Linked DNA regions of Stegostoma tigrinum. The protein of the gene in region 2 binds, or shares a complex with, the protein of the main gene of each other region. Links are inferred from orthologs where the notes say so. Each region holds a gene or a part of one and is shown on either strand. Other genes may lie near its edges. The genes, in order: mlst8, mapkap1 and rictora.

What was found.
Region 1: the proteins of mapkap1 (region 2) and mlst8 are in contact, whole or in part, in a cryo-EM structure (PDB 7PE8), measured with the Homo sapiens proteins. The link is inferred for Stegostoma tigrinum from reciprocal best matches to the Homo sapiens genes MAPKAP1 and MLST8. Residues at the interface, in NP_001006618.1 of Homo sapiens: Lys102, Cys103, Lys104, Asn105, Ile106, Gln107, Trp108, Lys109, Arg111, Asn112, Ser113, Lys121, Leu123, Phe124, Glu125, Lys126, Lys127, Ser128, Leu129, Gly137, Lys138, Gln139, Ser140, Ile141, Leu142, Val144, Arg145, Leu146; in NP_001186102.1 of Homo sapiens: Ala29, His30, Pro77, Ile78, Ile79, Ser80, Tyr81, Asp82, Gly83, Arg98, Arg110, Ile111, Trp112, Gln120, Cys121, Gln122, Arg123, Ile124, Asn139, Gln140, Ala141, Leu157, Lys158, Ile203, Glu206, Ser279, Gly280, Asp281, Gln283, Asp322.
Region 3: the proteins of mapkap1 (region 2) and rictora are in contact, whole or in part, in a cryo-EM structure (PDB 7PE7), measured with the Homo sapiens proteins. The link is inferred for Stegostoma tigrinum from reciprocal best matches to the Homo sapiens genes MAPKAP1 and RICTOR. Residues at the interface, in NP_001006618.1 of Homo sapiens: Ala2, Phe3, Leu4, Asp5, Asn6, Pro7, Ile9, Ile10, Leu11, Ala12, His13, Ile14, Arg15, Gln16, Ser17, His18, Thr20, Ser21, Asp22, Asp23, Thr24, Met26, Cys27, Met29, Val30, Leu31, Ile32, Asp35, Val36, Ser84; in NP_689969.2 of Homo sapiens: Arg108, Gln137, Glu140, Thr144, Leu147, Arg148, Arg151, Lys152, Thr155, Arg182, Met183, Arg185, Ala186, Ala189, Cys192, Glu193, Leu196, Leu220, Arg222, Ile223, Glu225, Ala226, Leu227, Thr229, Thr230, His233, Asn236, Arg293, Trp295, Glu844.

Annotation. Positions count from the first base shown.
Region 1 is NC_081376.1:20,632,847-20,639,997, forward strand, and holds the start of mlst8 (target of rapamycin complex subunit lst8), read left to right. Parts: upstream 1-4,140; 5' UTR 4,141-4,365; exon of another isoform or gene 4,366-4,797; intron 4,798-6,379; exon of another isoform or gene 6,380-6,512; intron 6,513-7,151. Other genes in the region: zgc:113333 (beta-N-acetylhexosaminidase), read right to left, coding at 1,120-1,141.
Region 2 is NC_081382.1:27,184,045-27,191,039, reverse strand, and holds the start of mapkap1 (target of rapamycin complex 2 subunit MAPKAP1), read left to right. Parts: upstream 1-3,895; 5' UTR 3,896-4,119; intron 4,120-6,995. UniProt on the Homo sapiens protein: Component of the mechanistic target of rapamycin complex 2 (mTORC2), which transduces signals from growth factors to pathways involved in proliferation, cytoskeletal organization, lipogenesis and anabolic output.
Region 3 is NC_081356.1:134,468,260-134,475,334, forward strand, and holds the start of rictora (rapamycin-insensitive companion of mTOR), read right to left. Parts: upstream 3,022-7,075; 5' UTR 2,942-3,021; coding exon 2,893-2,941; intron 2,639-2,892; coding exon 2,591-2,638; intron 1-2,590. UniProt on the Homo sapiens protein: Component of the mechanistic target of rapamycin complex 2 (mTORC2), which transduces signals from growth factors to pathways involved in proliferation, cytoskeletal organization, lipogenesis and anabolic output.

The DNA.
Region 1 (7,151 bases), on a different chromosome or scaffold from region 2:
ATTAACTTTACAAAATTAAGCTGAAGCAAGAAAGTAAAATTTAGTTTGTGATATTGTTTGGCAAGTGGGTCATCCATTATTTCAATCAAAACTTAAATTCCAATTTGCATAAATATTGGCCAATGCAGCAGGGAGAACTCCCTTTCAGATGGTGTCATTGGATTTGTTTATCCACCAAAACGACTCATTGTCTATGTTTCATCTGAATGCAAAAATGCAGCATTCCCTCGGTTCTGCACTGGAGTGGCAGAAACGCTGATCACATGCGCAGCTTCTAAGCAACGTCTTCCAGTAGGGAAGAATTCTTACGCCTATAAGCAGCAAGAACATCACAACTTTTCCACAACTCCCTTTTTTTCTAATCCATTAAACACGAGTTTGCAGGAAAATACGTCAAAATGGAACCGTAGCGTGTAACTAAAGATGATATTGCCATTAAAACGAGCCTTTCATTTGAACTTGGCTGGGGCTTTGCTATAATGCAGTCTCCAATACAGAACCAATGGACCCAGAGATTAATACAAAGACCCCTATCTCAGTAACATTCATCATAGCAGAAGCTACCTGAGCCAACTCACGTTGTGCTACGATCTGAATATTCAAATAGTGATCCACACAAACAGTTCTATCAGGGGGGTTTGTCAACCCGTTGAACGTATGTTCTCGAGATAACAATATTTGACATTTCGCTCTCTCACCACTTCCCGCCCATTTACAATATGGTAATAAAATTAGAAGAATATTGAACGCAGCTATGCACCCAACAGCTTCCCGGAGATGCATTTTTTTTAAAATCCTGGGGATTCTAGGGCACTCCTGGAGGGTTGGCAACCTTTATCACTGTCGGGGCTGATTCCAGCCTTAACTGCTAAATCTCAAGTGAAATGTAAGCAAAACATTGTAGTCTGTAATTCTTCAGTAATTGCAATTAAATCTTGTAATGTGCCACGAATCCTCAGAACGTGATTCTGGGATATTCCGCCTGACGACGAGCAGTGATTAAATAGAGATAAAGTCTCCTCCCATTGCTAAGTCCTGTGAGGACAGATTTGACCCAATGGAGTCTTCAGCTCGCACTGATGTGAGATCAATTCCCCGTCTCCAATACTGAATACCCACCACGTTCCCGTCGTCCAGGCATCTCCACTCGCCTGTTTCGTGTCTCTGCCAATGCTGCTCTCCTTTTCCGCTTCCCGCAGCTCACTTAAAGCAAGCCACCCAATTCTCGCTCTTTCACTTTCGGCATTTATCGTCGTAGGACCTAAATACCTTGCACCTGCGCAAAGTTAGTTAAGAATTATGTATTGTACAAAATAGTCAATACAGAAAATAATAATATGCAGTGTACAACATCAATGTCTCTAGTGCATTTTATATAAGACAAATAATCCACAAAAGAACCTCTAAATTCAAACGCTATAACGAATAGTCAAAATGCTCACCCTGCTGTCTCGGAATAATTGTGTGTCGCTACGATTGGAGAGTCTAGGAGATGGAATACCACTGAGATATAACGTGGTAAACTATTTCCCACAGACAGGCCAGGAACAATTGAAGTATTCAGTTTTTTAAAATCACGTTTTAGACCTTTCTAACATGCTTTGCAAGCAGTGATTTTACTCCGAGAGCCATCGCACAAAATGACCCAAAGAGCTTCATGGCCAATTAAATATATTTCAACTGTTGTTTTTATTGTAACATAAAATAAGCTAATTTATACGTGGAAAAGTCTGACATTGAGCTTTGAGATAAATGATTAGATAACCTGTTTGTGATACTGATTGAGGGATAAACAATAGCCAGCAAAGCAGGAGTATCCCCTCGCTGTTCTTTGCAAAGTGTTGTGGGGTCTTTTGCTTTTACCTAAATGGCTCGACAGGGTCTTCATTTAACATGGGCATCCAGCATAGCAGCACTTTCTCAGTACTGTACTGAAGTGTCAACCTCAATTACATAGAATCGAAATGCAGAAATTGACCGTTCCATTCAACAGGTTTTACCAATATTTATAATGTGCAGGGGTATCTTGCAACTGTAAATATATCTCACTGTTCCACACCCATATGAGGTTGTTGACTTGCTCGCCGAGCTGAACGAGAACAAGCCAGCTCGGCGAGCAAGACGACAATCTCACCCACAACCCGAGCTACAGATCTTTGCCAAAGCTTTAAATCCACGCCCATTTCCCTCTATTCTTATCTTCATTATATCTTCTCTTAAACCTAGTAAATTTAACTCTAACAACCACCGCATGTCGGAATGAATTCCACATTGACATTTCACTGTCCTACTTTTTTGTGCCTTGGATGCATTTGGGTGCTTTTCCACTTTTGTCGAGTAAGTGTCAGTATTGTATTGTTCCGTTGTTTCTTGAGAGGTTCAAGCTTGCTGAGCATTGTTGGAACTTCATTCGTCAAGGCAAGGAGAGAGCATTCAATTAAATTCCCACCTTGTTGGCAGAGAACGGGATTTTGGGGGGTCATGAGGTGATTTAGTCACTGCTAGAGTTCATAATTTCACAAACCAAATTATTTGTACAGTCAAGATAATAAAATGAGAGGCTGGATGAACACAGCAGGCCAAGCAGCATCTTAGTAGCACAAAAGCTGACGTTTCGGGCCTAGACCCTTCATCAGAAATGGTGGAGAGGGTTCTGAAATAAATATGGGGGGAGGGGGGGTCGAGCGCGGACAAGAGAGTTGCAGTGAGAGAGAGATCCCCTGAGGTTTGTCCGGAGGCAGGACGATAACTTCTTCAGGTTAGGCATCCCTAGAAGAGGCTTTGCATGAGGTCAAAATTGTATCAGAGATAATAGGAACTGCAGATGCTGGAGAATCCGAGATAACGAAGTGTAGAGCTGGATGAACACAAAGCAGCATTTTACTTGTACTTCTTTCAATCTAGTTCACCATATTCGCAGTTCACAATGTTACATTGGTGAGATCCAATACAGACTGGCTTTGTAGAACACTCCCTCTCTATAAAAATGACAGTATTCTTCCAATTGCTTATATTTTCAATAATCTATCTTGCTTCCACGCCAACATCTCCATTCTATAAATAAAGAACTGAGGGGGCTGGAAAGCTAGAACATTACGGAAATTACTCCAAAAACTCACCAAGTCTAGCAGCATGTTTGGAGAGAAATCAGAGTTAACGTTTTGGATGCAGTGACGCTTCTTTAGAATTTCTGTTGTGGTGTTCTTGCAAAGTTTAATGTAAGCTGGAGAACCACCACTTCGCTCTACCTTTAGGTGCTTTACAGCCTTCAGAACTCAGATGTTAAATTCATTAATTTCAGAGAATGATCTCTGTCCTTAATGTTTATTTTGATTTCTCTCGCCCTGTCGCAACGTGTCTCGCTAATTTCTTGTTGGCTTCGCTTTCACCAGAACTGACCTATTTTTCTCTAATTCAAACGAACCACTCGTCCATTTTACATATAAAACTCTCCCTTGCTACGAGAAGTGTACCCTTTGTCTTTAGTTCCGGATTGCCTCACCATCCGTCGCACTTACTCATCTTTCCCACCTTGCCAAGAGTATTGAAACAATACGTTGTCGCTCCCTTCAAGTCCGAAGAAGTCTTTGGATTCGAAAAGTTAATTTTGCTCCCTGTTCACAGATGCTGTCAGACCTGCTGAGATTCTCCAGTATTTTCTGGCTTTTTTAAAAAAAACATTCTTTCGGATATTGAATTTAATTTCGTCACTTATTCAGCCACCTCTGTTTAGATTTTCCTGTGTTTTGATACAGCCCTTCACGATATTATCTAAACCCACTCCTATATGATGTAAGCCGATGTAAAATTTTGATACAATTCCTCCAATTTCTGGGTCTGAACTACGTGGACAATAATGCACCAGGTGCGACAGCTTCATGTTTATCCGTCCAAGAGCCTTCCACCAGGTCCGAAGTTTTTCAAAATTACCAGTGCTTCTCCCCTCAAAATATCTGTGTTGACCATTGTGTCACTTTGTCTAATTGTCTGTCCTTTTTGCTCTATGTCTCCTATTTTTGTGCTTTGCGAATGGCTGATATCCGAATACTGAGCTACTTGAGTTGGTTGTCACCTTGGGTAAAATTTGATGCTACGTTCGGTGAGTCGGGCACTAGGACAGACGTACTGCAAAGGTGCATCAAATATTCACACTGTTTACGAAGAACCCACAGCCTGCTCTGGGATCAGAAATGTCAGGAGTGGTGCAACAGCAACATAAATGGCAAACGGATCGAAGATTGTGATTCTGGATTTACTGCTCGAAGTCAAAGAGATCAAAACATTTCATTCTTCATCAAGTGGAATTTAGTAATTTCTGTCTCTGATCTCTGCTACAAGTTTGCGTTGCCATCATGCACTGATGGGGTGATTCTTCTCTGCTATCTATGATTTCAGTTGAATTTAGGACACTAGAAATCTACGAACGCCAGGATTGTAACTGTAGATGATGCGGCACAATAAAATAATAAACACCCCACTGTCCAAATTCCATCAATAATCGCCCTGACAGCAAGAATATCCTAATGATCAATTCCACACGCGCTCGCTCGCTGAAGGGAAGGGATGAGCAGCTCGGGCGGACCGATTGATAGTGGGTGGTGCGGCAGACCGGCGCATTTAGATGAATGAACCAGCGGACAAATGTAGAAACGGACCAGACTTCCGGTTGTGAGTAGAATTTGCAGAGAGTGAAGTAAAGCAAGGGCTGAGCTGAAGGACGGTGAACAGAACCCCGCTGTCGGACTGCATCGAGTCCAGGGAGGGTAGGACTGATGACGGAGTCTGGGTTTACTAAACGTCAGTTTTCCTGCTCCTGAGATGCTGCTTGGCCTGCTGTGTTCATCCAGCTACACACTTTGTTATCAGAGATAATGGGAACTGCAGATGCTGGAGATTCCAAGATAATAAAATGTGAGGCTGGATGAACACAGCAGGCCAAGCAGCATCTCAGGAGCACAAAAGCTGACGTTTCGGGCCTAGACCCTTCATCAGAGAGGGGGATGGGGGGAGGGAACTGGAATAAATAGGGAGAGAGGGGGAGGCGGACCGAAGATGGAGAGTAAAGAAGATAGGTGGAGAGGGTGTAGGTGGGGAGGTAGGGAGGGGATAGGTCAGTCCAGGGAAGACGGACAGGTCAAGGAGGTGGGATGAGGTTAGTAGGTAGCTGGGGGTGCGGCTTGGGGTGGGAGGAAGGGATGGGTGAGAGGAAGAACCGGTTAGGGAGGCAGAGACAGGTTGGACTGGTTTTGGGATGCAGTGGGTGGGGGGGAAGAGCTGGGCTGGTTGTGTGGTGCAGTGGGGGGAGGGGATGAACTGGGCTGGTTGAGGGATGCAGTGGGGGAAGGGGAGATTTTGAAACTGGTGAAGTCCACATTGATACCATATGGCTGCAGGGTTCCCAGGCGGAATATGAGTTGCTGTTCCTGCAACCTTCGGGTGGCATCATTGTGGCAGTGCAGGAGGCCCATGATGGACATGTCATCAAGAGAATGGGAGGGGGAGTGGAAATGGTTTGCGACTGGGAGGTGCAGTTGTTATCTCGGATTCTCCAGCATCTGCAGTTCCTACTATCTCTGTAACAGTGAGGTTTTGTTTAACAACAATTCGGCAAATCGTTAAATCATTAGAGATAATGGGAACTGCAGATGCTGGAGAAACCAAGATAACGAAGTGTGGAGAGATAATGGGAACTGCAGATGCTGGAGAATTCCAAGATAATAAAATGTGAGGCTGGATGAACACAGCAGGCCCAGCAGCATCTCAGGAGCACAAAAGCTGACGTTTCGGGCCTAGACCCTTCATCAGAAAAGGGAGATGGGGAGAGGATTCTGAAATAAATAGGGAGAGAGGGGGAGGCGGACTGAAGATGGATAGAGGAGAAGTTAGGTGGAGAGGAGAGTATAGATTTCGGGCCTAGACCACTGTCTCCTCTCCACCTATCTTCTCCTCTATTCATCTTCGGACCACCTCCCCCCCCCCTATTTATTTCAGAATCCTCTCCCCATCTCCCTTTTCTGATGAAGGGTCTAGGCCTGAAATGTCAGCTTTTGTGCTCCTAAGATGCTGCTTGGTCTGCTGTGTTTATCCAGCTCCACAACTTGTTATTACAGTTTGCCTTATGAACGTTTGAATTGGGACCAGCCTTCCTGGTCCCTAGAGCCTGCTCGCGCAATTACATAAATTCATGGTTAATCTGATTACTCCTCATTTCAGTCTGCCCCAATAACTAACTCCAACCCCGCTTCCAAAGAATCAATCAACCTCCGTCTTAAAATATTAACAAAAATATCCACTTGTACCACCTCTGAGGAAGAGAGTTCCAAAAATGATTGAAGATATAAAATCTCCTAATTTATTTATTAAATGGGTGTTCTTTTAGTTTTGAACAGCAACCCAGAGTTCTGGATTTTCCAACTAGAGGAAACATCCTTTATATCCTGTCAGAACCTCTCAGGATCTTGTGTACTTCAAAGAAGTCACCTCTTTCTCATCCAAACTCTCCTGAATACCAGGTGAGCTTGACCACTTTTTCTTAAGAGTCTACCTGTTGCTTTTGGGAATGAGTCAGTTAAATCTCTAAACTGCTTCCCATGCGTTTACTTGCTATCTTAAATAAGAAAACAAATTCTGTATGCCACTCCAGACATGATCGTATCAATGCTTGTTACAACTGAACCATAACCTCCATACTTAATATATTAAATTTCTGTTGCAATAAATTATAACATTCTGTTACCATTGTTAATTACTTGCTGTTTCTGCATATTAACTTTTGTGATTTGTGTATTAGGACACATTACTTTGCAACTCTGTAATTGCTCACTATTTAAAAATGCACTTTTTTATTCTTCACACAAAATGGACAATTTCCCCTGTCCTCAAGTTGTCACGTACCCTCCTTTTTCACGTAACTTATTTATATATATTAATATATACCTTACCTACATATGTAGCCTTCATATTTCATGTTTACAACTTGCCTTCCTACCTTTCTTTGTGTCATCAGCAGATTTAGCAACCATAATTTCAATATCTTTATCTAAAGTAACATATAAATTGTAAAAAGCTCAGCACTGATCCCTGTGGCACACTACTTGTTACATCTTGCCAAACAAGAAAAGACCTACTTATGCCTACTCGTTCTTCCCTGT
Region 2 (6,995 bases):
TGTGCCATTGCAGTAGCATTCCGGTGATAGTTTCTCGTGTGCCCCAAAGCACAGCATGGCAGTGCAGAAGCATACTATATTTGAATCAAAGATGTATCATAATGGTGTAGAGAGGCTGTCATGTGTCAGATGCAAGCATCAATGGACATGCGGTGCTTACCGCAATCGTCCATGGTGTGTTCCCTGAAGCGTTCGTGTTGTGTACGCAAGATGGAGCTGGAGTGGTGCCTGCTGTGACTTTCATGTTGGAAATTCTCCATGCCTAGTTTGGTATATGGTAAGATAGGGATCTGCATGTTAATGAAGTGAGATTCAGTGGTAATGAAGAAGATAATGAGCGATAATGCTTTTTGTCAGGCCTGTTGCACGTCAATAGCAGGAATCTTGACTCGCTGACTGGAACTCTGTTGGAAAATGTAACTTGTTGCTCCTGATTTACATGAAGACCTTGCTGGTCTTCTTATATGATTCTCTCAAATTTTTCATGACAGCCTACATCATTCAAGGACTAGCAAGACTCCATCCTGAATTTCCTTTTACGAACATTTACCTCTATGTAAAGCTATATTTTGTTAAAAGACTTGATTATTGGCAACATCACACTTTCTCAATCCTATAACGGCGAGAGTATATTTTGTTTGAAATGTTTGTCAGAAAGGTAACCATTTTCATTAACATCTCTCTTCTCTCCTCTCTCCCCTGCTGAAATATAAACCAATTGCACAGGGTCTCCAGCTAACACTTTTCCTTCCACTTATAATCCCTAGCTTTCAAAACATATATATTCAGTGCCACAAACTTATTACAGCCCAACTTATCTGATTATATTGTACCCTTTCCAGCTTGACAATGCTCTATACTAGGTCTTTACCTTTTTACCTTGCATTGTGCCCCTTGATCATGAGTGGTGTTTCAAGGTTAATAGTGAGGTACAAAATTGATTTAATTAAGACTAATTATTATTGTTTAGTTTTGGAGAAATTTATTGTGCTTAATTCAAAAAATATTCAATATTTATCTCAAATCGTGATTAGTGATGTTCTATGGTTTCCTGAGTTTTCTGCAGATTTTAAAAGAATATATGCATTTTCTGTCGTAATATTATCTAAAACAGGCCAAACGTTGCTTTATATGTGACTGTCTTCTTGATGTATTTCATTTTGCTTTCTTATAGAAATATCATTGCACTAAAACTCAAATCTAAAACAAGTAACATAATTACAAAACACAAATTTGGCATAAAGTTCTGAGTTAATTTTTCAGCACTGACAAGAAGAGCATCCGCTATGTTGCTTATCACTTGTGTTAATTAGTTGGTCCCGTTCATACGATGTAGGGGGATAATACCATGGAAGAAATAAACAGAATTTCAATGTAAAGTAAGGTTAACATCATCTGATCGAAAAGTGTTTTGCCTGGAATCACACCTTAAAAATATTACTATGTACAATAGACAACATTGTTTTACAAAAATGGAACAATGCAAATACTTTTTAATGAAAATTAAATGTACTGGTAGATATGAACAGAATATATCCCAAGCATAAATACAAATAAATGCATTTAAGTATTTTGCTCTCTTTGGGAAAACTTGGAGTTTAGAACAGAGCATAGATGTCTATAATTATAGGATTCCATATTTGCTTTTGTGATATCAATCAATATATTCCCACACTGGATGCCAAAATATTTCCAGTCTATCAGACTATGTGATATTTGACATTTTGTTTATTGATCCCAGCTTTTTCAAAGAAAGTGTACAGCATCAGGCAAGTCAGTTACACCTTGAAAACAGACCATCTGGCCCACAAAATCACAGTGATGTTTATCCTTCACACTGGTGCAAATCCCACAAGCCTGTCTGGTTCACTTTATTTTCCTTTTCTCCAACCACCTAATAATTAATTCACAAATGTTACATGGAGGTAGATATTCAGTTAGGATTCTTCCAATGCTCCACACATGTTCCGTGGAAAATCAGCAGAAAACCTTGAGAAATCAAATATTCCCATAACAACATAAATTGCTGAGAAATCTTTTGCAGCACCTGTGGACAGAAAGCAAAGTTAACCTTCCAGGTCCAGTGACCCTTCTTCTTCAGATGTTTCTGATTTCCAGCATCTGCAGTTCTTTTATTTTTGGCTATTTCTGTAATTTCTCCAGAATTTCATACTTTTCACTCATGTTAAGTGAGAATCTCCATAGAAATTCCAAATGATAGAAACTGCTTCACTCATTTTGAACCTAGCATAATACATTTTCACAACCCTCTGGAAAAAAAAGCTTTTCTTGCACTCCACCTGCATCTTTTTTACTTACTTATCTTGCCATGAGAAAAGTCCTGCTGAATCTGCTTGTACCCTTTTCTCCCACCTCAACATATTCTTTTAGTGCAGATTCTAAAATTACAAAATATTTCCGATTGTGGTCTATCATCACATTGCTAATTTTATATTCTATACCTTGTCATAGAACAATATTTCATTAGCTTTTCTAATTAAATTAAAAGTGTTAGACTAAGTGGATAATATCTTGAAGCAGTATCAGTGGTGGCACAGTGCTGTCACTTTCATCTCTGAATCACATTCAAAAATCTAGGCCAACACTCATTGTCGTACTGTGGAGGGATTCACTGCGAGTGGTGTTTTTTTGGATGAGACATTAAGTTGAAGTCATCCATGCTTTCAGGTGGATATAAAAGAACACAAAATGCTGTTTTAAAGTAAAAACAAATGTGTGATAGTTGGCATTCTGGCTATTGCTAATCCTTCAATGAACATCACAAAAATTATTTGTTGGTTGTCATCACTTTGCTGTTCCTGCAATGGACAATTGGCTATTGTGTTTTCTACTTTACAACACTTGAAAAATACTTCATTGATTGTAAAATGCATTGAAATGTCTGGTAGTTGCAAAAGCTAATATATAAATTCAAGGCTTTCTTTAAAACTGAACATCTCATTTATTAACATTCCATCTTCTGCTTTCCTGCTCAGTCCTCTGCCTGATTATCAGGCTTTTTAGCTCCTGAGGGACTCTGGTCCTCGGAATTATTATGCCTCCTATTTGAATATAACCAGCCTACCACCACCGCCCCCCACACATCTTTCAACTGTTTGTCATTGGCTTTCAGCATTGCACTTTATCAAAAGTTTTCTAAAAGTCAATGTATACCACATCCACCATTTACAATATGTCACCTTCTTAAATAACTATCAGAATTTCAGGCACACACTTCCTTTCTGAAAACCATCAGAAATGTCTCTTTCCAAAGAAGAAGTGCAGTATCATACTTCAAACTTTACACAGATTGTGTACATTGATTGGCTACATCTCGGACCATACGGAGAAGCGTTTTTTAGAATTCTGATCAATTGCAGGCAAAAAACGAACAATGATGGTTCACATCTAGAATTTACTGCAACTGTATGACCGAGAATTCACACGTCAGCAAACCAGTGCAAATTTTCCAGAGATCGTATCTATAGTTTACCTGTACAGCAATTAAAGAACTTAAGTAGCAAAGTTATACAATGATTTACTCTATTAAAACATGCATATAAATAAAGTATTGGGAGTAGAATGAACTCTTTGGAGGAGGAAAATAACAACAGTACATTGTAGACATAAACAGGGCAATACAAGGTAGAAAAGCAGACGCCCACCAGTAGCTCAATTCAAAACAATTGAGCCTCGGACACAGCAAGGTAGCACCGGTCACAGCAACCTGCTACAAGCCAGCGCAAGACCTTTCCTGCTCCTCATTGATTGGTACAAGTTTCCCCAATACTCCAATCAGTGATGAGACTCCCCAGGAGGACTCAATCTGATTGAGCATTGCTGCTGCCAATCCATGCTGGCTTTCCGGCAGCAGGTTGAGTTGTGTGTCGGTCCCGCCCTCGTAGCCGAGTGCGGTTGAGTGTTCAATCCACGGCGGATAGCGTTCCGGGCCGAGGTACGGGTTTGGGAGTATGGTTGACGTGTCCGGAATATTCTCTGTAAACAGTGGTAATAAGGCGACTATCTGAGATTTTCAATGCCGAAGGAAGCGCTGGCTATGTACAGGTGACACACGTGTTTGAAAGCCTGACCAACCGTCAAGAAGTGCTGAAATCGACGGTATGTTTTTCTTCGAGTTTGCTACCTGTCAGTGTGAGTTCCTCGGACTAGGCCGCTGGTGGAGCCTGCTGCTAGAGCAACAGCTTTACCGCCGGCCTCCGTCACATGCACGGCTCCTACTCACTTGATCCAGTTTGTTTACAACATTTCGTCTCTATCTTTGGTGAAAAAAGCAGAGTTTATTTATCTGTCGCCTTTAATGCAGCTCATTAGGCCTGTTGTGGTTTTCAGGGGTCAAAGTAGTCTTGTCCCAAGTTGTTCAAAATTCCTCGTAAATATGTTATTAGGAGTAAAACAACGCTATCCAGAAAAACACCCCCGCTCTGCAAAGCTGATAGATGGCACACCCGTTACACTGGTTTATTCTCTGATTTATACTATACGTGGCAACTAAGAATACAATGCCAATGTGATTAGTCATTGACTGTGATCATTTTGTATACGTTAATGGATGTGTAGGAGTAAACAAGACTGTAGCAGTGGCAAAGGGTTCAGAGGACAACGCTTCTTGTGTTTGAAAGCTACGCACAGATTTTGCATGGCCCCTCTAAATTTTTTTTATTTCATGTTATGGATGGAATCTGATATTCAATTTGTACGATTTTTTTGATGTTTGAAGCTGTCACATTCAAATTATAAATCGTAAACAAGGGATAGAAGTTCGTAGAGCTTTTCGTTTTCACTTTTGTGGTAGCTAGTTAGGGATCATCAAACATTTTGAAAAATTCAAAAACCTCATTTTAAACTGTAGAATTACACTGCAAGATTTCATCTTTTAACAAAAAAATTAGCATGTATGATTAGATTGACACTAGCTTATACCTGTATATGCTCAAGTTTACTTTCTTAGCTCATTCTTTTGAGAAGTATATATTTTGAAGTTATTTGAAAGATGCTGTTTGGAACTCGTCTTTTAACTCAGTAGACCGAATAGCCTGCTTCCACACTAGGGATTGTATGATATGGACAGTATGCCACAGTCCTGTGGAGAATTTTTGTCAACTATGACAATTCTTAGAAATAGAACTTTAACTTACTTTCTCTTGACTGTGGAGACTTCAATCTCTTGTTCTGAATACTTTTCTAGTACTTTCATGCTAATCTTCTGCTCCTTTCTTTAGCAATAATTCACCGACAGTATATTGCCTCAGTTGAAGCTATTACAGCAGTAGAACATAGAACAGTACAGTACAGGCCCTTCAGCCTACGATGTTGCGCTGACCTATTATCTTCCTCCTTCAGAAGATTCAAACTGGTATTAAGTCTGACCCAACTTCTCTGTGGTAAATGGTAACGTCTGTGTTTTAATTTGTGTACAGTACAGGTCTAGCTTTTAATAATTTTGGCTGGCGTTGTGATCTGCAAACCATATAAGGTCTAAACTGCAATCAAAAACCTCTCCAGGAAATACCCAAATAAACTGAGGCTTGAGAGCCTTTCTAAGTTATAGCCATTTCCATGATAACATAGTTGCTCTGGGCTATCCTCAAACAGGCATTTAAGCTAATTTCTCACTTAGAATTTCTCTAGTTAACTAAGTCTGCCTGCTGTTTTATAGCTGATATTTCTTCCATCCTGACTCCCGACAAACACACACTTGGGCAACCTTCTGACCTGCCGTTTTATTTTTGGTATACTATTTTGACACTGCCAAACTTCAACGTTTGAATTGCATTACCTTCTCAAATATCATGTTAGAGAATAGCATGCAAGTATTTTCTAATTTATGCTCACAGGATAAGTGTTGCCGGTAAGACCAGCATTATTGGCCATTCCGTACTGCCTTTGAGAAGGTAGTGCCCAGCTGCATTGAACCAATTCAGCTGCTGTGATGTAGGTCCTCTCTTGGTGCTATTGATGAAGCGTTATTTTGCTCCAGTGACCACAAAAGCATGGTTATATATTTCCAAGTCAGCTTGATGGTAAACTCTGAGGGAATGGTGATTCCCGTTTCTTTGCTGTCCGTGCCAGTGGTGCTGATGAAGGAGCTATGGTGCTTTGTTACAGTTTATCTTGGTCACAGTGCTCTGCGCTGGTTATGGAGGTCATGGATGTTTAAGGTGGGGATGCTAGTCAAGCATGCTGCTTTACCTTGGATTGTATACAGGGTGTGGTGTTGTTGGAAGCGAACTTGAAACGAGTGGAAGTATTCCATAACACTTTTGACTTTTGTCATGTCGATGATGGATGTTTTGAAACTATGAAGGTCCGAGAGAACCCACATTGGACGGGTTGGCTAAAGCTGATTAAGAATCGGATGGTGATAGTGTAAAAGTAATGCATGCACCTCACTATGTTTGCATGATTTAGGAAATCTGTTGCATTTTTCTCATAACAAGCTTTGCCAGTTTCAGCAGTGAATAGCAAAATAAAAGTGAGAGGTATTTCCTTGTGAGGACTCTCTTTTTGTACATTGAAAATATACAAATATCATGAATATTTTATGCTGATTTGCTTTTTTTCTGCTTCTACTTTGTGTTTTGCTTTCCCTTTTTAGAGAAGAAATTTCAACATTGTTTTTGGGGAGCAAGAACTTAATTGCTTTCTAATTTATTATAACCTTTAACATTGGGCCTAGTGCTTCACGGAAGGATGATCAGCTAAAAAATGATGCCAAGCCGAAGAAGATACTATGTGGAGTAAAAATAAAATTGAGGATGTTAGAGAAACCCAGCAGATCATGCAGTGGAAGTGGAGACAGAAATAGAGTTAATGTTTTTGGTCGAAAGATGACTTTGAAACTGAATGTTAGGAGACTTACTGAAAGCCTTGTGTCAGAGGAAGGTGTTAAGGAATCTTTTAAAGGAGGAAAGTGAAATGGAGAGATGTCAGGAGAAATTCCAGACTTTTAAGGCCTAAGACTCGCCAAGCACACA
Region 3 (7,075 bases), on a different chromosome or scaffold from region 2:
GCAGTCGCCGGTCCCTCCCCTCAGGACGTGGCCGTTTCGAAAAAAACACATCGTGCACCCATCATCCTCCTTTCTCCACCCAGAGTCAAAAAGCAATAAACGTTAATACAGAAAAATACATCGAAACTGCCGCCACTTCCCACAAAACTTAAGAGTCCATTTTAAACGTAAACAAATCACTGAAGGCTTCATTACTAGGCAATGTTTGCAAGCTGACAGACAGGGAAGGCATCTCCGGAGCAGCGCGATAGGGCAAAGGTTAGGCTGGCGCTGGAACTGATTAATGGAGTAGGGTCAATACAAGCACTTGGGCAAGAGATACCGAGCAGGTTCCACACATAGGCACCAGTAGTCAGCGTTTTCAGAAATACTGCACTTGCACTGCATGACTCACTCGCTAAATCAATGCTGCTGGGAGACCAGGTACCACCACGATAGAAGCTCAGAATCCCAATACTGTGGAACAGACCATTCAGCCCTTCAAGTCCACGCTGATCTTCCAAACAGCATCCCATCCAGATCCAACCCTCTCCCTGTAAGCCTGCATTTCCCATGGCTAATCCACCTAACACACATCTCTGGACTGTGGGAGGAAATCAGAGCACCAGGAGGAAACCTATCCCGACCCTGTGAGAACGTCTGTGTGGAGTCTGCACGGCTGCCCGAGGCTGGTATTGAACCCGGGTGCTAGGTGCTGTGAGGCAGCTGTGCTACCTACTGAGCCACCATCCAGGAGACCACTTGCTTTTGTTTCTAAACGAGCACAGACAATGCATTTAATAATGTTACATGTTATCAGCTGGCATCAGATGTGAAACATTAACAAGAGAAAATACCCATTCCTTGCAATTTAGCAGTACTAGATTTAGGATTGAGAGAATATTAATGACTTTCGTTGCCAAAAAATCACTACTTTGGACAGTGAAAAATGCTGGTTTTATTTGCTGAGTAGGCAGAGGATAGTTTTAGAGCACTGGTGAGTACAAAATCATGCCTAAATAGTGACAGCTTGAGGTGTTAATTAACTTGAAATAACAGGAGGTATCGCTACATGAAAGGTCTTGCTTGGTTTGTCTAGAATGGAACAACTTTGGGGGAGGAAATTGGAATAGAATGGCTCTTGCTTAGAATGAACTAAGCTGGGTGAGAGAAAATTTCACTGAAAAAGTGTACAGTACAATGCAGGAGAAGGCAGACAAAATAGGATGACAGTGGCAAAGGGGCATATAGAAAAATACAGAAAATCAAGAATGTAGAGTCAAAGGCTCAGACTAAGGGACTGGTCACTTAGAATTGAGATGAGAAAACACAAAAATACAGAAAACAAAACCAATTCAGTGTAACTAGTCCACTTCAACATGATCATAGCTGATCCTCCATCTGAGGGCCACGCTCCCACTATCGCCCCATACCCATAATTTCACTGAAAGACATATGAATTTTTGGAGTTCTGTACCCGAGAGCGCTGTGGATGCCAGTTAACAATTACACACACAAACTGAAAACAAGAAATGCTGGAGGTCACAGCAGGTCTTACAGCATCCATGGAGAAAGCCCATGCTAATGTTTTGAATCTAGATGACTCCATCAGAACTGAACACTCACAAAGATCGCTGCAGATATTTTGAATGACAGATGAGAGGGGCTTGCAGGCGCTCTACTGTCGAACAAGTTTAGGTCTCAAGAGGCTGTAGTGTTTACTCCTCCTATTTGTTAGGTTCTTTACCACCCACTACTTCAAGATCCTCGATGCCCAGTTTCATACCCTCAATGTCCAATCCTGTATTGCATCTTTCAGCTATTTGATCTGTCCCAGACGTTCCCCCTACCCCCAGCCTCATCTTACATCCCCCCCCCAATCCGATTACACAGATTCCCATCTTGCCTGCTCCCCCTATCCATTATCCTTCGCCCTCTCCCAGTCCCCCCTTTTCCCATCCCACTTCAACACCGTCGTCCCCTTCCTAATCAATAAATCCCAGCTCACTTTCTTTCCTACCCCAACCCCGCAAAATGCACCCAGTTCTCCCTTTAGCCCACCCGCCCCCAATGACAGTGGAGGGCCAACCAGCTCCAGGGCGGAGTGGAAAGGCGAGACCACAAACAGAGATGGGGGGGGGGGGGGAGGAGCGGGGCGGGGCGTGGGGCAGATGAATGATCCCACAAACCCCTCTCCTGCCCCCGAGTGGAATCTCCCCACCAACGGACGGGGCTCGCGGCCCGGGAGCCGTTAGTGTTTGAAAAGCTGGCGCCCAGGAGAGGCGGCGGCCCCTGATTCATTCGGTGCGAGGGCGGCGGGAGACAGTCAGAGAGAAGGAAAAACAACTTCACTTTCCCACTCCTCCCGACTGAGTCCACCGGTTCCCTCCCCACCCCCAACTCCTTTACACAATAATTCCAAAGTTTTGTGGTCTCCCTCACACTCCGGTCAGCGGAGCAGCGACTTTGCCCTCACGTCTCATCGTAGCTCCAACACCATTCCTCCCCCACCACGATCCGCCATCACCAACCTCCTACAGAATTTTATTTTGTTTATTTACTTCCTTCCACCGTCCTCATATTTAAAAAAAATGCCCCGTTTCCCCCTTACCTCGGGACAGATCGAGCGGCACGTTCTCCTCCCCGCTGTCATTCCGCCCTGCGTGCATATTGTAAATCAATATAAGAAGATATGTGCAGAGGAGAGAGAGAGAGAAAACAAATACGATTAAGGATGGTTCAGTTAAGGTGGCCGGTAAGTCATACATTTTATTTCCATAAACAAACAACATTCGACGGGGCCGTTATTAAAGTGCGAGCGTCGTTAATTGCCGCTGCTGAGGGTTTTTTGTTTTTGTTCTGGTTATCGGTCTATGCCTTGCCGGCCGGGTCTGACGACTGAGGGTAATGTACCTCTGATGCGGAGGCTCCTAACGGAGCGGCCGCGAACGCTGACCGCCATGTTCACGGACTCTCGCCTCTCTGCCCGCCCGCCCGGCCTGGGGCCGCACAAAAACACCGGAAACGCCGGGCAGCTCTCGCGAGAGGACGGCCCTGGCCCGGGCCCAGGCTCAATGAATGGGGAGGTGGGGTGGGGTGTAAGGGTGGAGGGGCGGGTCTCCAGGGTTAGGGGTGGGTCTTTAGGAAGGGGGCGTGCTCCAGGAATAAGGGGTTTGGTGGTTTGGTGCTGCACTAGAAACGTTAATTTGGCTTTCTCTCCACAGATTGTTAGACTTGTATCAGAGGTAACGGGAACTGCAGATGCTGGAGAAACCAAGATAACAAAGTGTATACTGCATCCACTGTACCCGGTGCGGCTTTCTCTACATTGGGGAAACCAAGCGGAGGCTTGGGGACCGCTTTGCAGAACACCTCCGCTCAGTTCGCAACAAACAACTGCACCTCCCAGTCGCAAACCATTTCCACTCCCCCTCCCATTCTCTTGATGACATGTCCATCATGGGCCTCCTGCACTGCCACAATGATGCCACCCGAAGGTTGCAGGAACAGCAACTCATATTCCGCCTGGGAACCCTGCAGCCATATGGTATCAATGTGGACTTCACCAGTTTCAAAATCTCCCCTTCCCCCACTGCATCCCTCAACCAGCCCAGTTCATCCCCTCCCCCCACTGCACCACACAACCAGCCCAGCTCTTCCCCCCCACCCACTGCATCCCAAAACCAGTCCAACCTGTCTCTGCCTCCCGAACCGGTTCTTCCTCTCACCCATCCCTTCCTCCCACCCCAAGCCGCACCCCCAGCTACCTACTAACCTCATCCCACCTCCTTGACCTGTCCGTCTTCCCTGGACTGACCTATCCCCTCCCTACCTCCCCACCTACACCCTCTCCACCTATCTTCTTTACTCTCCATCTTCGGTCCGCCTCCCCCTCTCTCCCTATTTATTCCAGTTCCCTCCCCCCATCCCCCTCTCTGATGAAGGGTCTAGGCCCGAAATGTCAGCTTTTGTGCTCCTGAGATGCTGCTTGGCCTGCTGTGTTCATCCAGCCTCACATTTTATTATCTTGGAATCTCCAGCATCTGCAGTTCCCATTATCTCTAACAAAGTGTGAAGCTGGATGAACACAGCAGGCCCAGCAGCATCTCAGGAGCACAAAAGCTGACGTTTCAGGCCTAGACCCTCCATCAGAAAAGGGGGATGAGGAGAGGGTTCTGAAATAAATAGGGAGAGAGAGGTAGGCAGATTGAAGATGGAGACAAAAGAAGATAGGTGGAGAGGAGAGTATAGGTGGGGAGGTAGGGAGGGGATAGGTCAGTCCGGGGAGGACGTACAGGTCAAGGGGGTGGGATGAGGTTAGTAGGTAGGAAACGGAGGTGTGTTGGGAGGAGGGGATAGGTGAGAGGAAGAACAGTTTAGGGACGAGGGGACGAACTGGGCTGGTTTTGGGATGCAGTGGGGGGAGGGGAGATTTTGAAGCTGGTGAAACCCACAGTGATACCATTGGGCTGCAGGGTTCCCAAGCGGAATATGAGTTGCTGTTCCCGCAACCTATCGGTGGTGTCATTGTGGCACTGCAGGAGGCCCATGATGGACATGCCATCTCAGGAATGGGAGGGGGAGCTGAAATGGTTTGCGACAATGAGGTATAGAACATTACAGCACAGTACAGGCCCTTCGGCCCTCGATGTTGTGCTGACCTGTCATACCGATCTCAAGCCCATCTAACTTAAACTATTTTATACGAGGTGCAAGATAATACAGTGTGAAGCTGGGTGAACACAGCAGGCCAAGCAGCATCTCAGGAGCACAAAAGCTGACGTTTCAGGCCTCTCTCTGATGAAGGGTCTAGGCCCGAAAAGTCAGCTTTTGTGCTCCTGAGATGCTGCGTGGCTTGCTGTGTTCATCCAGCTTCACACTTTATAATCTTGGATTCCCCAGCATCTGCAGTTCCCATTATCTCTCTATACTAGATGCAGTTATTTACTGTGAACCGAGCATAGGTGTTCTGCAAACCGGTCCCCAAGCCTCCGCTTGGTTTCCCCAATGTAGAGGAAGCCACACAGTGTACAGCAGATGCAGTATACCACATTGGCGGATGTGCAGGTGAACGTCTGCTTGATGTGTAAAGTCTTCTTGGGGCCTGGGATGGGGGTGAGGGAGGAGGTGTGAGGGCAAGTGTAGCACTTCCTGCGGTTGCAGGAGAAAGTGCCGGGTGTGGTGGGGTTGGAGGGGAATGTGGAGCGGATAAGGGAATCGCGGAGAGAGTGTTCTCTCCGGAAGGCAGACAGAGAGAAGTGTGGGGATGGAAAACTGTCTTTAGCGGTGGGGTTGGATTGTAGATGGCAGAAGTGTCGGAGGATGATGCGTTGTATCCACAGGTTTGTGGGGTGGTATGTGAGAACTAGGGGGATTCTCGTTTGGCAGTTATTGCAGGGGCGGGGTGTGAGGGATGAGTTGCGGGAAATGCGGGAGACGTGGTTGAGGGCGTTCTCGACCACCGCAGGGGGATGTTGCGCTCCTTGAAGAACGAGGAGATCTGGGATGTACGGGAGTGGATAGCCTCATCCTGGGAGCAGATGCGGCGGAGGTGAAGGAATTGGGAATAGGGGATGTAATTTTTGCAGGAAGGTGGGTGTGTGGAGTTGATTTCTAGGTAGCTGTGGGAGTCGGTGAGCTTGAAATGGACATCGGTTTCTAGGTGGTTGCCTGAGATGGAGACAGGTCCAGGAAGGTGAGGGATGTGTCGGAGATGGTCCAGGTGAACTTAAGGTTGGGGCGGAAGGGGTTAGTGAAGTGGATGAACTGTTTGAGCTCCTCTTGGGAGCGCGAGGCGGCACCAATACAGGTATCAATGTAACAGAGGAAGAGGTGGGGGTTGGGGCCAGTGTAGTTGCGGAAGAGGGACTGTTCCACGTAACCTACAAAGAGGCGGGCATAGCTTGGGCCCATGTGGGTACCCATGGCCATCCCTTTTGTCTGTAGGAATTGGGAGGAATAGAAAGAGAAGTTGTTGAGGGTGAGGACAAGTTCGGCTAGGCGGATGAGGATGTCGTTGGAGAGGGACTGGTTGGGTCTGTGGGACAGGAAGAAGCGGAGGGACTGGGCTGGTTTTAGGATGTGGTCCCCAAGCCTCCTGCACATCTTCACCTGCACATCTGCCGATGTGCTATACTGCATCCGCTGTACCCGTTGTGGCTGCCTCTACATCAGGGAAACCAGCAGAGTCTTGGAGACTGCTTTGCAGAACACCTACACTCAGTTTGCAATAAACAACTGCACCTCACAGTCGCGAACCATTTCAATTCCCCCTCGCATTCTTTAGATGACACGACCACCCTGGGCCTCCTGCAGTGCCATAACGATGCTACCCGAAGGTTGCAGAACCCTGCAGCCCAATGGTATCAATGTGGATTTCACAAGCTTCAAAATCTCCCCTCCCCCCCACTGCATCCCAAAACTAGCCCAGCTCGTCCCCACCTCCCTAATCTGTTCTTCCTCTCTCCTTTCCCCTCCTCTCACCTCAAGCCGCACCCTCATTTCCTTCCTTCTAACCTCGTCCCGCCCCCTTGACCTGTCCGTCCTCCTTGGACTGACCTATCCTCTCCCTACCTCCCACCTATACTCACCTCTACAGGATCCATGCCCGCCCCTTTAATTTGTCTGTCTCCTCTCCACCTACCTTTTCCTCTATTCATCTTCGATCTGCCTCCCCCTCTCTCCCTATTTATTTCAGAACCCTCTCCCCATCCCCCTTTTCTGATGAAGGGTCTAGGCCCGAAATGTCAGCTTTTGTGCTCCTGAGATGCTGCTTGGCCTGCTGTGTTCATCCAGCTCCACACTTTGTTATTTCTGTTAGACTTGCTACGTTTTCCCAGCAGTTTATGGTTTTGTCCCTGAGGGACATTCAGGGTATGGGGAAGAAGGAGAGGGTCTGATAAAGTAGGATGGCAGCCAAGAGGGACAGCAGCAACATAGTTGGCAGAGGGGCCAGCTGTCAACCTTCACCAATGGAAGAACACATTTAATGTCAGGCTGACTTTCTTCTTCTGAAGAAGGGAAGAAACGTCAGCTTTCCTGTTCTTCAGATGCTGCTTGGTCTGCTGTGTTCATTCAGCCTCACACTGTTTTGACT